Linked DNA regions of Danio rerio. The protein of the gene in region 2 purifies or fractionates together with the protein of the main gene of each other region. This does not show direct contact. Links are inferred from orthologs where the notes say so. Each region holds a gene or a part of one and is shown on either strand. Other genes may lie near its edges. The genes, in order: dicer1, raf1b and cct5.

Region 1 (4,259 bases), on a different chromosome or scaffold from region 2:
AACCCAGTTAAACCTTTAAATGTCACTTTAAGCTGTAAGTGTCTTGAAAAATATCCAGTCAAATATCATGTACTGTCATCATGGCTAGATAAGATAAATCAGTTATTAGAAATGAGTTATTAAAATTATTATGTTTAGAAATGTGTTGAAAAAAATCTTCTCTCAGTTATATTATAAGTGAATATATTTTGAGTATTTCATCTTTATTGTTTTGAGACCCAGCGTTAAAATAAACCATGAATAAACAAACAATAAAAAGAAAACATAAGAAATAAAAAAATAAAACTCAAATAAAACACAAACTATAGGAACAAAGACTAACATATTCCGTTACAAACATGTCTGGGGTGAAATATGCATGAGAAAAGTTAAATAGGAAAAATTATTAAATTAGAAATTTAACTGGAATGACACAATATACACAGGCTACTTGTGAATATCAAACGAAAGACAGTACCAACAAACATTTAAAAATATCAACAGTCAGTGTTGGGGGTAATATATTACAAGTAATGCGATTTACGTAATAATATTATTTTTCCAAGTAACGAGTAAAGTAGTGCATTACTTGTTATAATATTTTATTTATTTTGAAAATGTAACACAAGTTACTTTTTATTGTAATTAATCAGCTTTAAAAATATTAAAATGCTGAATTAAAAGTGAAGTAGTCAAAATAAATTACACAATCAATGGGAGAATGCGTTCATTATTTTGAAAAGGAGACTGTCTTAACGGACAATGATACTTCAGAAAAATAGTACAAAAGTAGCAAACACATTGCTTTAAACTTTTGATAATCTGTATATACTGCATGCATAGCCCTGGCATAAGGAATTCTCAGAAAACATTATCCTAAAATATTTTTGATGTGTTTTTTAAAGGTAAATGTAGGTTTTACAGTGTGTTATTAATTACAGAGCTCCTCTATTTAAAAAAAAGATAGAAAAAAAAAGTTCTGAAAGAGATCAAGCCTCAGCCAGGTATTTAAAAGTTACGCAAAAATAACTCAGTAACGTAACACATTACTTAACTTACCATAAAAAATAACTAACGCAACTAGTTACTTTTGGGGAAATAACTCAATAATGTAATGCATTACGTTACTTAAAAGTAACTATCATCAAATTCTGCTATTTTAGTGTGAGTAAAAGCGCTACATTTTCTTCAAACATCCATACTGCCTACAAGTGCGACTTTTATTTTGAAGTAGCAGAATCTCTTTGGATTTGTTGTGTAGTTAGCAGTGCTCGCAGTTTCCGCGTTGTTTGCAGTAGCGGGCTTCACATGCGTGCAGTAGCCTGACAACAGCAGCAGCAGCAGGAGGGAATGGGGAGAGAGGGGCTCCGCACCGTTTAACAAGACACTCTTCAGCACAACACGACCATTAAAACAATTCACCATCGGTGAGCACTAGCCTCAATCTACAAGCACCTCCCGCGCTGATCGCTTATGTTTGTTTTTCCTCTCAGGATCTTGAAATAATCAATAAAATCAGCCGAAGCTAACACGAGCTCGCGTGCTAACCTCTGCCAGCCTAAAAACCGAACTGTCCGGTGTACATTTGGTTGGGAACTGTCCGTGCGTTCAACCTTTGACCGTGTAAATGCAATAACGTACGTGCTTCGTTACATGAGGGTTTTAAATGAGGTAAATCAATGTATGGTGTTTAATTCTTGCGTGACGATGCCTTTTTAGCTACACGCGTCTGCTAGCCTCAAACGTTAGAAGACTGATTCACATGGCAGGCGTATACTGAATATGAGCACAGTTTGAGATCTGGGGATGCACTTCATGTGTAATCAGAGATTAGCATTAGCGCAGAAGTCGCGTTAATGGTTGGCAAACTGACAGATGCATGATTTTTTTTGGAGGGGGGCTCGGGTGTGTTGCTGGCCAAGGCCAAGGTCGCGATGAGGCCTAACTGATTTGCATGATTAAAAATCTTTAGGGTATGGTGATATATTTAGATGCTTCTGTGATTGTTAAGGTGTTCATAGTGCCGTAAATATGTTGCTGGAGGGCATTGATTTTCATCTGCGTGGCATTTGTTTGTGTAAGAAGCATTATTGTTGTGTGTGGGGTACGTTAGTCTCGTATTGAAGTGTTTTCTTTTTATTTTAGAATCAAGTCAGTGTGGTATTAAAAGGGATAGTTCACCCTAAAAGGAAATTTATGTTGTTATTTGCTCATCCACTTTAGGTTTAGGACAAAACCTGTCCAACCCCAAAACAATTTACAAAGGAATGCTGAAAAAACTTAGTGAGGTGAAGTTGGTTTTGTATTCCTTCATTTTAATGGTTTCTGTATTGTTTGCCATGCTACTTTGAATATTCGATCTGAAATTGCATTTAAGTATGATTTTAAAACAACATTAGCACTATTTTATTGACGCATTTAAAGGGGATAGTTCACCCAAAAATGAAAATTATGTTGTCATTTGTTCATTTACATGTTCCAATCCAAATTCTTTAGTTGAACACAAACAAAGATACTAAAGAATGCTGAAATAACTTACTGAGGTAAAGTTGATTTTATATTCGTGCATTCGTTCATTTTAATTGTTCCTTTAATTGTTTACAACTCTATTTTGAATATTCGATCTGAAATTGCATTTAAGTGTGACTTTAAAACAACGTTAGCAATAGGGGTGTGCGATTTATTAAAATCGAATCGCAATTTGATAGAGGCTGCAATATAAAATGCATATGTAAACAAATAACATCTTCAAAACCAGTCCGCTATGCTTCAGAAGATTAAACATGCTAGCTAGACTTTCTGAGATGGTGTCATGAGGCATCACAAACATGGTATCGGTTAGAACTGCACGATTCTGGCTAAAATGAGAATCACATTTCTTTGCTTAAAATAAAGATCACGATTTTCTCACAATTTTGTAGATGTAAAATAAAGGTATGGTAAAAACAAACATATGGCACAACCTCAATAATAATATTATGTGTAGGTCTACTGGTTTATATAAATAATTCTATTCTATATTAATCTATTCTTATAATAATTCTTATGTTGAATGATTATGTTTGAGATATATGCTTGCAATCTGTCATATTAGACAATTTAATTCACTGGTAAAATCAGACATTTGCCATTATCAGATTTTATTAAAGAATATATAGGCTAGAGTAGTTATACTGACATTGTAAACATTTATTTTCATGCACAACTGTGAGTTCGCTATGAAAGAAAAAACATATCAAATGCTTGTCGTTATCATAACTCTAAAATGCGATATGATCATTAAATGAAGTGCACACTTTGTTTCATTTTGATTGCGAAGTGCTTGTTCATACTTTGCGCGCGGCTCCCAAACGATCACTCTGTGCCACAAACTGAATATTATTAAGAACTTTATTACCTGTTACTCGCAACATACGCAGGTTCTGTTGACTAAAGTAGACGCACCCCTCTCTGTGATAACAGCTTACGTCACGTATGATTTCCTGATCGTGAAAACATTATATTAAAACAAAAATAATATTTTTAGGTGAATAATACCTTATAAATACAGTATGTGACTCATTCAACATCATTTAGAGGTGTCAATGTCACTAAACAACGTTTGTGAAACGAGGAAAAGACTCGTGCAGCTTTTTCTTCTCTCCTGAACTTGAAAATATGATTGGCAGAATCGTAGAAATGCTGGATTAAGATCGTCTAGGGGGTTGAATCGAGATTGCGATCTATTAACGATTAATTGCGCAGCTATAGTATCGGTTGTCGTGAACTGCCACATTACACATGAAGAAACGATTAAATCTTGTGTCACGGCATCCATTTGATTGAGTTAAAGTTGGTTTTATATGCGCACATTCATTCAGTGACAATTTGTGACATGCTCCCTATATTGTTTACCATGATACTTTGAATATTCAGTCTGAAATCACGTTAGTGTGACTAACACAACATTAGCACTATTTATTTGTCTGTGAACACTGTTGTACTTTGATGGTCAATGGCTGCTAAAATGATTTCACTGTTTAGAGTTTGCGAAGAATACTTTTCTAAAGTTATATTATAAAGGAGAAAGTCTCATGTGTAAATCTAAAACCAACTTTACCTCAATGTCCATTTGTCGTTTACGACTTTCCACGACACCCTATGTCAAGAAAATTGTGCTGAAATTGTGTGATCTGATTGGGGCTTTATAACTAGCCAACTGAATGAGCACACTTTGTTCCGCCCAATCAGAATTGCGCAACTGAATTATGCCCACAATAAGTGCTGACAAGTGGGATTAT
Region 2 (3,659 bases):
TGCACGTGCAGTTGAAGTCAGAATTATTAACCCCCTGATGTTTTCACCAATATCTGTTTAACAGAGAAGTTTTCTCCAGCACATTTCTAATCATAATAGTGTTGATAACTCATCTCTAATATCTGATTTATGTTCTCTTTGTCATGATGACAGTAAATAATATTAGACTAGATATTCTTCAAGACACTAGTGTTCAGCTTAAAAGTGGCATTTAAAGGGTTAACAGAAACTAATATAGTTTAAAGGGGCTAATAATATTGACCTTAAAATGGTGTTTAAAAAATTAAAAACTGTTTTTATTCTATCCGAAATAAAACAAATAAGACTTTTTTTCAGAAGAACAAATATTATCAGACATACTGTGAACATTTCCTGAATCTGTTCAACATCATTTGGGAAATATTTAGAAAAGAAAAAGATTCAAAGGGGGCGAATAATTCTGACTTCAGCTGCATGTGCATGCATCTGCTGTACACTCTTATGCAGAGTGACCAGTGTTGTGCTGCTATGATATTTGAGCTTCAGGAAGTAGCTTTATAATGTAAAGCGGAGTATAAATAAATGCTGCTGGCTTTATTTTCAGGTGATGTTGCTGTGAAGATTTTAAAGGTCATCAATCCAACACCGGAGCAGTTGCAGGCCTTTCGCAATGAAGTGGCTGTTCTCAGGTAAACCAGCAGGAAAGGCCCAGATAAATCATTCAGTTCAGCTTTAGAGAAACTTTCAACAGGGTTCCTGCGGGATTTCTGCAATATGGACATTTAAAAGGTGTATTGCAGACACTGAAAGTCAGGGAATGTTGTATATTTCTTTGTCCACGTCGTGAAACATACGGGTTTTTGTTTGTCATTTTAAATCTTCCTTCCCATTCAAAAGAATTCGTGCTCATCTGACATCTGACTGCTCTCGCTGTTTATTTACTCTGTATTTAGCTGTTTGTCTGTATACTAGAACTGACCCGACTGCTCTCGCTATATTTAAATCTGCTTTCCACAATCTTTCCACCTATCTGTATTTGCATTTTAAATTATTGCATAAAACAATGTTTGATGGAAATACCAAGATGGCTAAAAATGTAAGCGATTCTCCAGCTTTGGCATAAATGTAATTGGTATGTTTGAATGGAAACACAGCTCGTGTTATTCTGTCAGAGCGGACAGTGGAGTTGTGGTCACACTGCTGAACTCTTGTCTTTATGTTTTCCCGCAGGAAGACCAGGCATGTTAATATCGTCTTGTTTATGGGCTACATGACGAAGGTGAAGCTGGCCATCGTGACGCAGTGGTGTGAGGGAAGCAGCCTCTACAAACACCTGCATGTGCAGGAGACAAACTTCCAGATGTTCCAGCTGATGGACATCGCCAGACAGACGGCTCAGGGCATGGAGTGAGTGTTGCACAGCGCCGGACTGCAGAAAACTGCCTCTAAACACACCTGAAGCAGCTCACCAACACTTTAAAGGGCCGCTGTTACACTGTTTTGAAAGTTCCTGATTTTGGTCAATGCAAGGTTTAGAAACACTCATCATGATTCAAAGATCCTGTCCAGTGTTTCCCAACCGTGTTCCTGAAGACACACCAGCAGTGCACAACCTCTTCCTATTCAAACAGTCCTGAATCATCTCATCAGGACATCAGAAGAACCTGAACTGAATGCTTCAGATAAGGGAGACATCTACAATGTGTACTGTGAGTGTGCCTCCAGGAACAGGGCTGGGAATCACTGCTCTGATTGGTTGGGCGGATGTTTGGTTGGATGACTGATTGGTTTGTTGACTATTTGCTTAGACTGGCCTGATGGATTTGCTTTGCTCTGATTGGTCAGATGACCTTATTGGTCGGATTGATCTATTCTGCTATGATTGGTCAATTGACTCTGCTTTTCTTTGATTGGTCAGATGGCTTTATTCTTTGATTGGTTTGTTGACTCTTTGCTCTGACTGGCCAGATGGTTTTGCTTTGCTCTGATTGACCAGAAGACCTCATTGGTTGGGTAGATCTACTCTGTTATGATTGGTCAATTGACTCTGCTTTTCTCTGATTGGTCGGATAGCTCTACTCTGCTCTGATTGGTCTGTTGACTCTTTGCTGTGACTGGCCAGATGGATTTGCTTTGCTCTAATTTATCAGACCACCCTGATTGGTTGGATGGCTCTACTCTGCTGTGATTGGTCAATTGATCTGCTTTTCTCTGATTGGTCGGATGGCTGTACTCTGCTCTGATTGGTTTGTTGACTCTGCTTTGAGTGGTCAGATGTATTTGCTTTGCTCTGATTGGTCAGATGATCTACTTCGCTGTCGTTGGTCAAATAGCTTTCGTTGGTTAGTTGTCTCTCCTCTGATTAGTCAGATGGCTAATGGTGCAGAGCAATAACAGTGATGGTAGTTTTCTTGAATTTAAAGGATTTGTGAGTGGACCAATGGAGACTGTGGGCTGACATTAAGTAAATATACTCAAACCTCCAAAGGTTTGTGCTGAAAATACAAGACTGGATTAATTAATGACTCATTTCAGGCTTTAGTTAGACAATAACTTTAACATTATCTGCGCTTGTTTACATCCACAAACATCTACATTACACTCTTCATCAAGTGTCCTGCATGAACATGCGCAGTAGTGGCCCTTTAAAGCAGGTTTGCCTAAAGCAGTGTGTGTCAAGCAGCCGGTTGCAGCCGTAAATGCTGTTATTTGTTAAATGCAAATTAAAACATGCAACTAAGCAAATAACCCAGCCTGGTCAGACCAGGGAAATGAACAGCCGGATCAACTTTCAAAACTAGCAGAAACGCTTCCTTCTCAGAGTTATTGCAGATGTCTAGACACGTCTGCTCTTATTAACAGTGTTTGATGGAAATTCTGTCATTTGCTGATGTACTCAGGTGGGCATTTTGTGTGTGTGTGTGTGTGTGTGTGTGTGTTTTGGGGGCTTTTCGGTGGTAAATAATTGGCTGGAATCATGAAAGTTTGAGCTTTTGAAAATGTGTTCAGTTTTCAATGATTTTTGGCATCTTTAGCAATTTGATGTGTAAAGCAAAGCACTAAAACCACCGATTAGCATTGAAATAAACACTACTGCTGTTAATAGTTTACAGCCAGTGCAGTGTATCTAGAAATGAATGCTTGCATGTGAGTGGTTGCCTTTGAAACTGTACAGCAATCTGATACTGATGAAAAGTTTACAGAGACCTTTACTGATTAGTGTAGTTCGATCTATATTTATCAAAAACATCCTCAAAAAATGAAACGTATCAGAGTTTTCTCCAAACAAATGAAGCATTTGCACATTGTTAATAGTCAGAAATGTTTCTTGATCCTCAGATAATCATATTAGAATCATAAGATCTGTTTTACTGGTGTAAAAATTCAGCTTTGAATCACAGAAATAAATGACATTTCACTACACATTCACATAGAACACAGTTATTGTAAAGGATAATAAAATTTCACTTTTTTGTTGTAATATTTATTGTATTTTTGACCAAATAAATGCAGCTTTGGAGAAAAAAAAAAGAAAAACATAAATTAAATAAAAAATATTATAATAAAGTAAATATTTAAATGAAATTAAGGAAATTATGTATGCATATATTCACAAACCTTCACAAGTTAAAACCAACCCTCCGATATACACATTCTGTTTAAAGCATGCAGAACAGAAG
Region 3 (2,747 bases), on a different chromosome or scaffold from region 2:
TTTACTAAATACTGATCGTAAGAAATTAATCCTAAACAAACATTATTCATATACTGAATAAAAATGCTGATCCAGCAGGTGGCGCCGAGAGAACAAGAGGAATAAGTGTTTCCCTGGTTACTACAATAAAGAAAGCAGTGATGTAAAATCTAGCAGGATTGTATTGATTTCCAAAAAATTGCACAACACCACAATATTCAATTATTAAATTCATGCAAACGTTAGCATATTGTTACAAAACGTAATACCTTGTAAAATTAATATTTTTTAATACTTTAAGAGCCTTAAATTTCTCTAAATGGATCCAACTTTTAATACTTTCTAGGACCCTGCAGACAACCTGAACTAGCTGATATTAGTAAAAACAATGAATGAATTAATTTAAATGAATAAACAGCATACAACTAATTTCTTGAATGTCACAGAATGATTTCTGAAGCATTATTTTACCCTAAAGACTGCGGTAATACCTGCTTAAAATCAGCCGCCATCACAGGAATAAACAAGATTTTCAAATGCATTAAAATTTATTTATTTTAAAAACGATATAATATTTCATAATATAACATTATTTACTGATCAAATAAATACTGTATTGACAATAAGACACTTATTTCAAGAAACATTTTTAAAATGCCAACCCCAGCAGTAGTGTATTGCGTTTAGTTCTTACAAACCTCAATCTCAGGTCCACCGACCCAGCGGATCGCAGGAAGCTCATTCTGCAGGAGTAAATGATTGGCCTCGTCGTCAAATCCCCACTGGCAAATGGCAAGATTGGCGCCATTCTCCTTGACCTTAAGATGAATTGTAAAGAAATTAAAGTAGAAGATTAAGTAACATTTTTCTTGAGAAAATTGAAGTAATGAAAAAAAAGTGCTGTAGCTTTAAAATAGCTCTTATTGCTCAAAATTAAAGATTGATGCTTTACTGAGGCAGGCTATTATGCAAATTAACAAAATAATAACAATAATAATAATTAGCATTTGTCATTTTTAAAAAGTACTTCCATACACTTTAACACACTTTATTAATGTTACATTTAAATGTATAGATTTTTTTTTTTTACATATATTGCTTAACACGTTTCATCTTTGACCTTAATAATAATAATAATAATAATAATAATTTGTAATAAAGAATGAAACAATTACATCCATATAAAATAAAAAATAATAATTTAATCAATATATCTGCATAAAGCCTGGTTTATACTTCTGCGTCAAGTGACCAGCGTAACCCACGGCGCATGCAATGTGCGTAGTCGTGCATTTATACTTCTGCGCGCTGTCTCTGTTGGTCAGCATTAACACTTCCGAAACGCTAGTTGGCAGTGAGGTGTTAATGTTCCTCTGTCTTAAGTTTCTTCGCTGGAGTTTTGCTTTTCCTGAACACTTCCTGTATGTACAAGTGGCTGTACTCATTTTGAGGCAGGAACCGGCGGACGTGCAACAACTTTAACTATGAGGTAAACACAAAACAACTTTCCATCTGGAGCTCCTTCATGGGACTCCACACTTGTAAACAATCGCTCCACTGGGCTCGCGCCGCTCGCATGGCTCTCAGTCCTGCCCAGACTCGTCAGCTTTACCAAGCCGACCAATCACAAAGCTTGCGATACGCGTCGATGCGACGTGTAGTTACATTTTTTGAGAGGCGCACGTCAGCGACGCCGACGGCCAGGGCTATGCGTTAACACCGAGCATACACATGCGTTTGAGGCAGAAGTATAAATCAGCCTTAAGAACCGCAAAACAAAAGCAGGCAATATACAAACCTGTCGGATCATTTCCTGAAACTTGTCCTTCTCGTACTTCTGCAGAGCTTTATAATCCTCCACTGATGTCACATCAAGCTTATGCTTGGTTTTGGGCTTGGGAGGCTCAAATGGGCAGGTGAGGATGGCAATTTTGGTGTCTTTGAGCACCTGGAAGAATGCACTAATAAATAAATAACCTAAAATATTAGAACCAGAGCATGCATGAAATGAACATTAACACTAAACACAAACCTTGGGCATCTGAGGGTGACTGAACTCTTTGTCCACAATGACACCTTTGATGAGCTGAGTGTCCTCTAGTTTACCACCAACCTTTCCTTCCACTTTAATGAGCTCAAAGTCCACATCCTTCCTCTCCATGTCTGCCACTGTCAGAATGGCATTGACAGCAATCTCTGCCATCTGTCTGTGGCACCGGTTGATCCTATAAACCAGGAAAAAATATTAATAATGAATATTCTCAGTAATTATCTGGTCAAATCAAACACGTAGTAACAGAAAAACTCACACTTTGGATCCTAGTGTGGTCATGGCTGTCTGAACGAGAGATTCTGTGTTGTTAGGATCCACAGGGAAACTATCACCGATTTTGTCGAGCTGTTCGATGGCGATCTTTGCGGCCTGATCATAACCATCTGCAATTCTGATGGGGTGAATGCCTCGGTCTAACAGCTGCTCTGCCTGCTCCAGAAGAGCTCCGGCCAGAACTACAGGACAAAACAAACATTACAGTAACTCAATAAGCAAGAAAATAAGACTTCAATCTGCTTGTCAATCGTGACGTATGAAATGTTTCCGGGTCCAAGCCACTACACGTTAGAATTGACAAAATATTTGTTTATGACCACTTTTTCAGTCATATTGAAAATAAAAGTGAATTTTATATGAAATCACGGTGTACACAACGGTCTCTGGACATGCTGCATCACAAACACCAATATTTAACAATTTACAAAAAATGTATTAC

What was found.
Region 1: the proteins of raf1b (region 2) and dicer1 purify together in Homo sapiens (affinity purification with mass spectrometry; 3 studies listed by BioGRID and IntAct, with this or other methods). This does not show direct contact. The link is inferred for Danio rerio from reciprocal best matches to the Homo sapiens genes RAF1 and DICER1.
Region 3: the proteins of raf1b (region 2) and cct5 purify together in Homo sapiens (affinity purification with mass spectrometry; 3 studies listed by BioGRID and IntAct, with this or other methods). This does not show direct contact. The link is inferred for Danio rerio from reciprocal best matches to the Homo sapiens genes RAF1 and CCT5.

Annotation. Positions count from the first base shown.
Region 1 is NC_133192.1:20,754,371-20,758,629, reverse strand, and holds the start of dicer1 (endoribonuclease Dicer), read left to right. Parts: upstream 1-1,305; 5' UTR 1,306-1,602; intron 1,603-4,259. UniProt on the Homo sapiens protein: Double-stranded RNA (dsRNA) endoribonuclease playing a central role in short dsRNA-mediated post-transcriptional gene silencing.
Region 2 is NC_133186.1:568,905-572,563, forward strand, and holds part of raf1b (RAF proto-oncogene serine/threonine-protein kinase), read left to right. Parts: intron 1-583; coding exon 584-668; intron 669-1,209; coding exon 1,210-1,386; intron 1,387-3,659. UniProt on the Homo sapiens protein: Serine/threonine-protein kinase that acts as a regulatory link between the membrane-associated Ras GTPases and the MAPK/ERK cascade, and this critical regulatory link functions as a switch determining cell fate decisions including proliferation, differentiation, apoptosis, survival and oncogenic transformation.
Region 3 is NC_133199.1:20,777,744-20,780,490, reverse strand, and holds part of cct5 (T-complex protein 1 subunit epsilon), read right to left. Parts: intron 2,488-2,747; coding exon 2,289-2,487; intron 2,205-2,288; coding exon 2,012-2,204; intron 1,928-2,011; coding exon 1,778-1,927; intron 798-1,777; coding exon 678-797; intron 1-677. UniProt on the Homo sapiens protein: Component of the chaperonin-containing T-complex (TRiC), a molecular chaperone complex that assists the folding of actin, tubulin and other proteins upon ATP hydrolysis.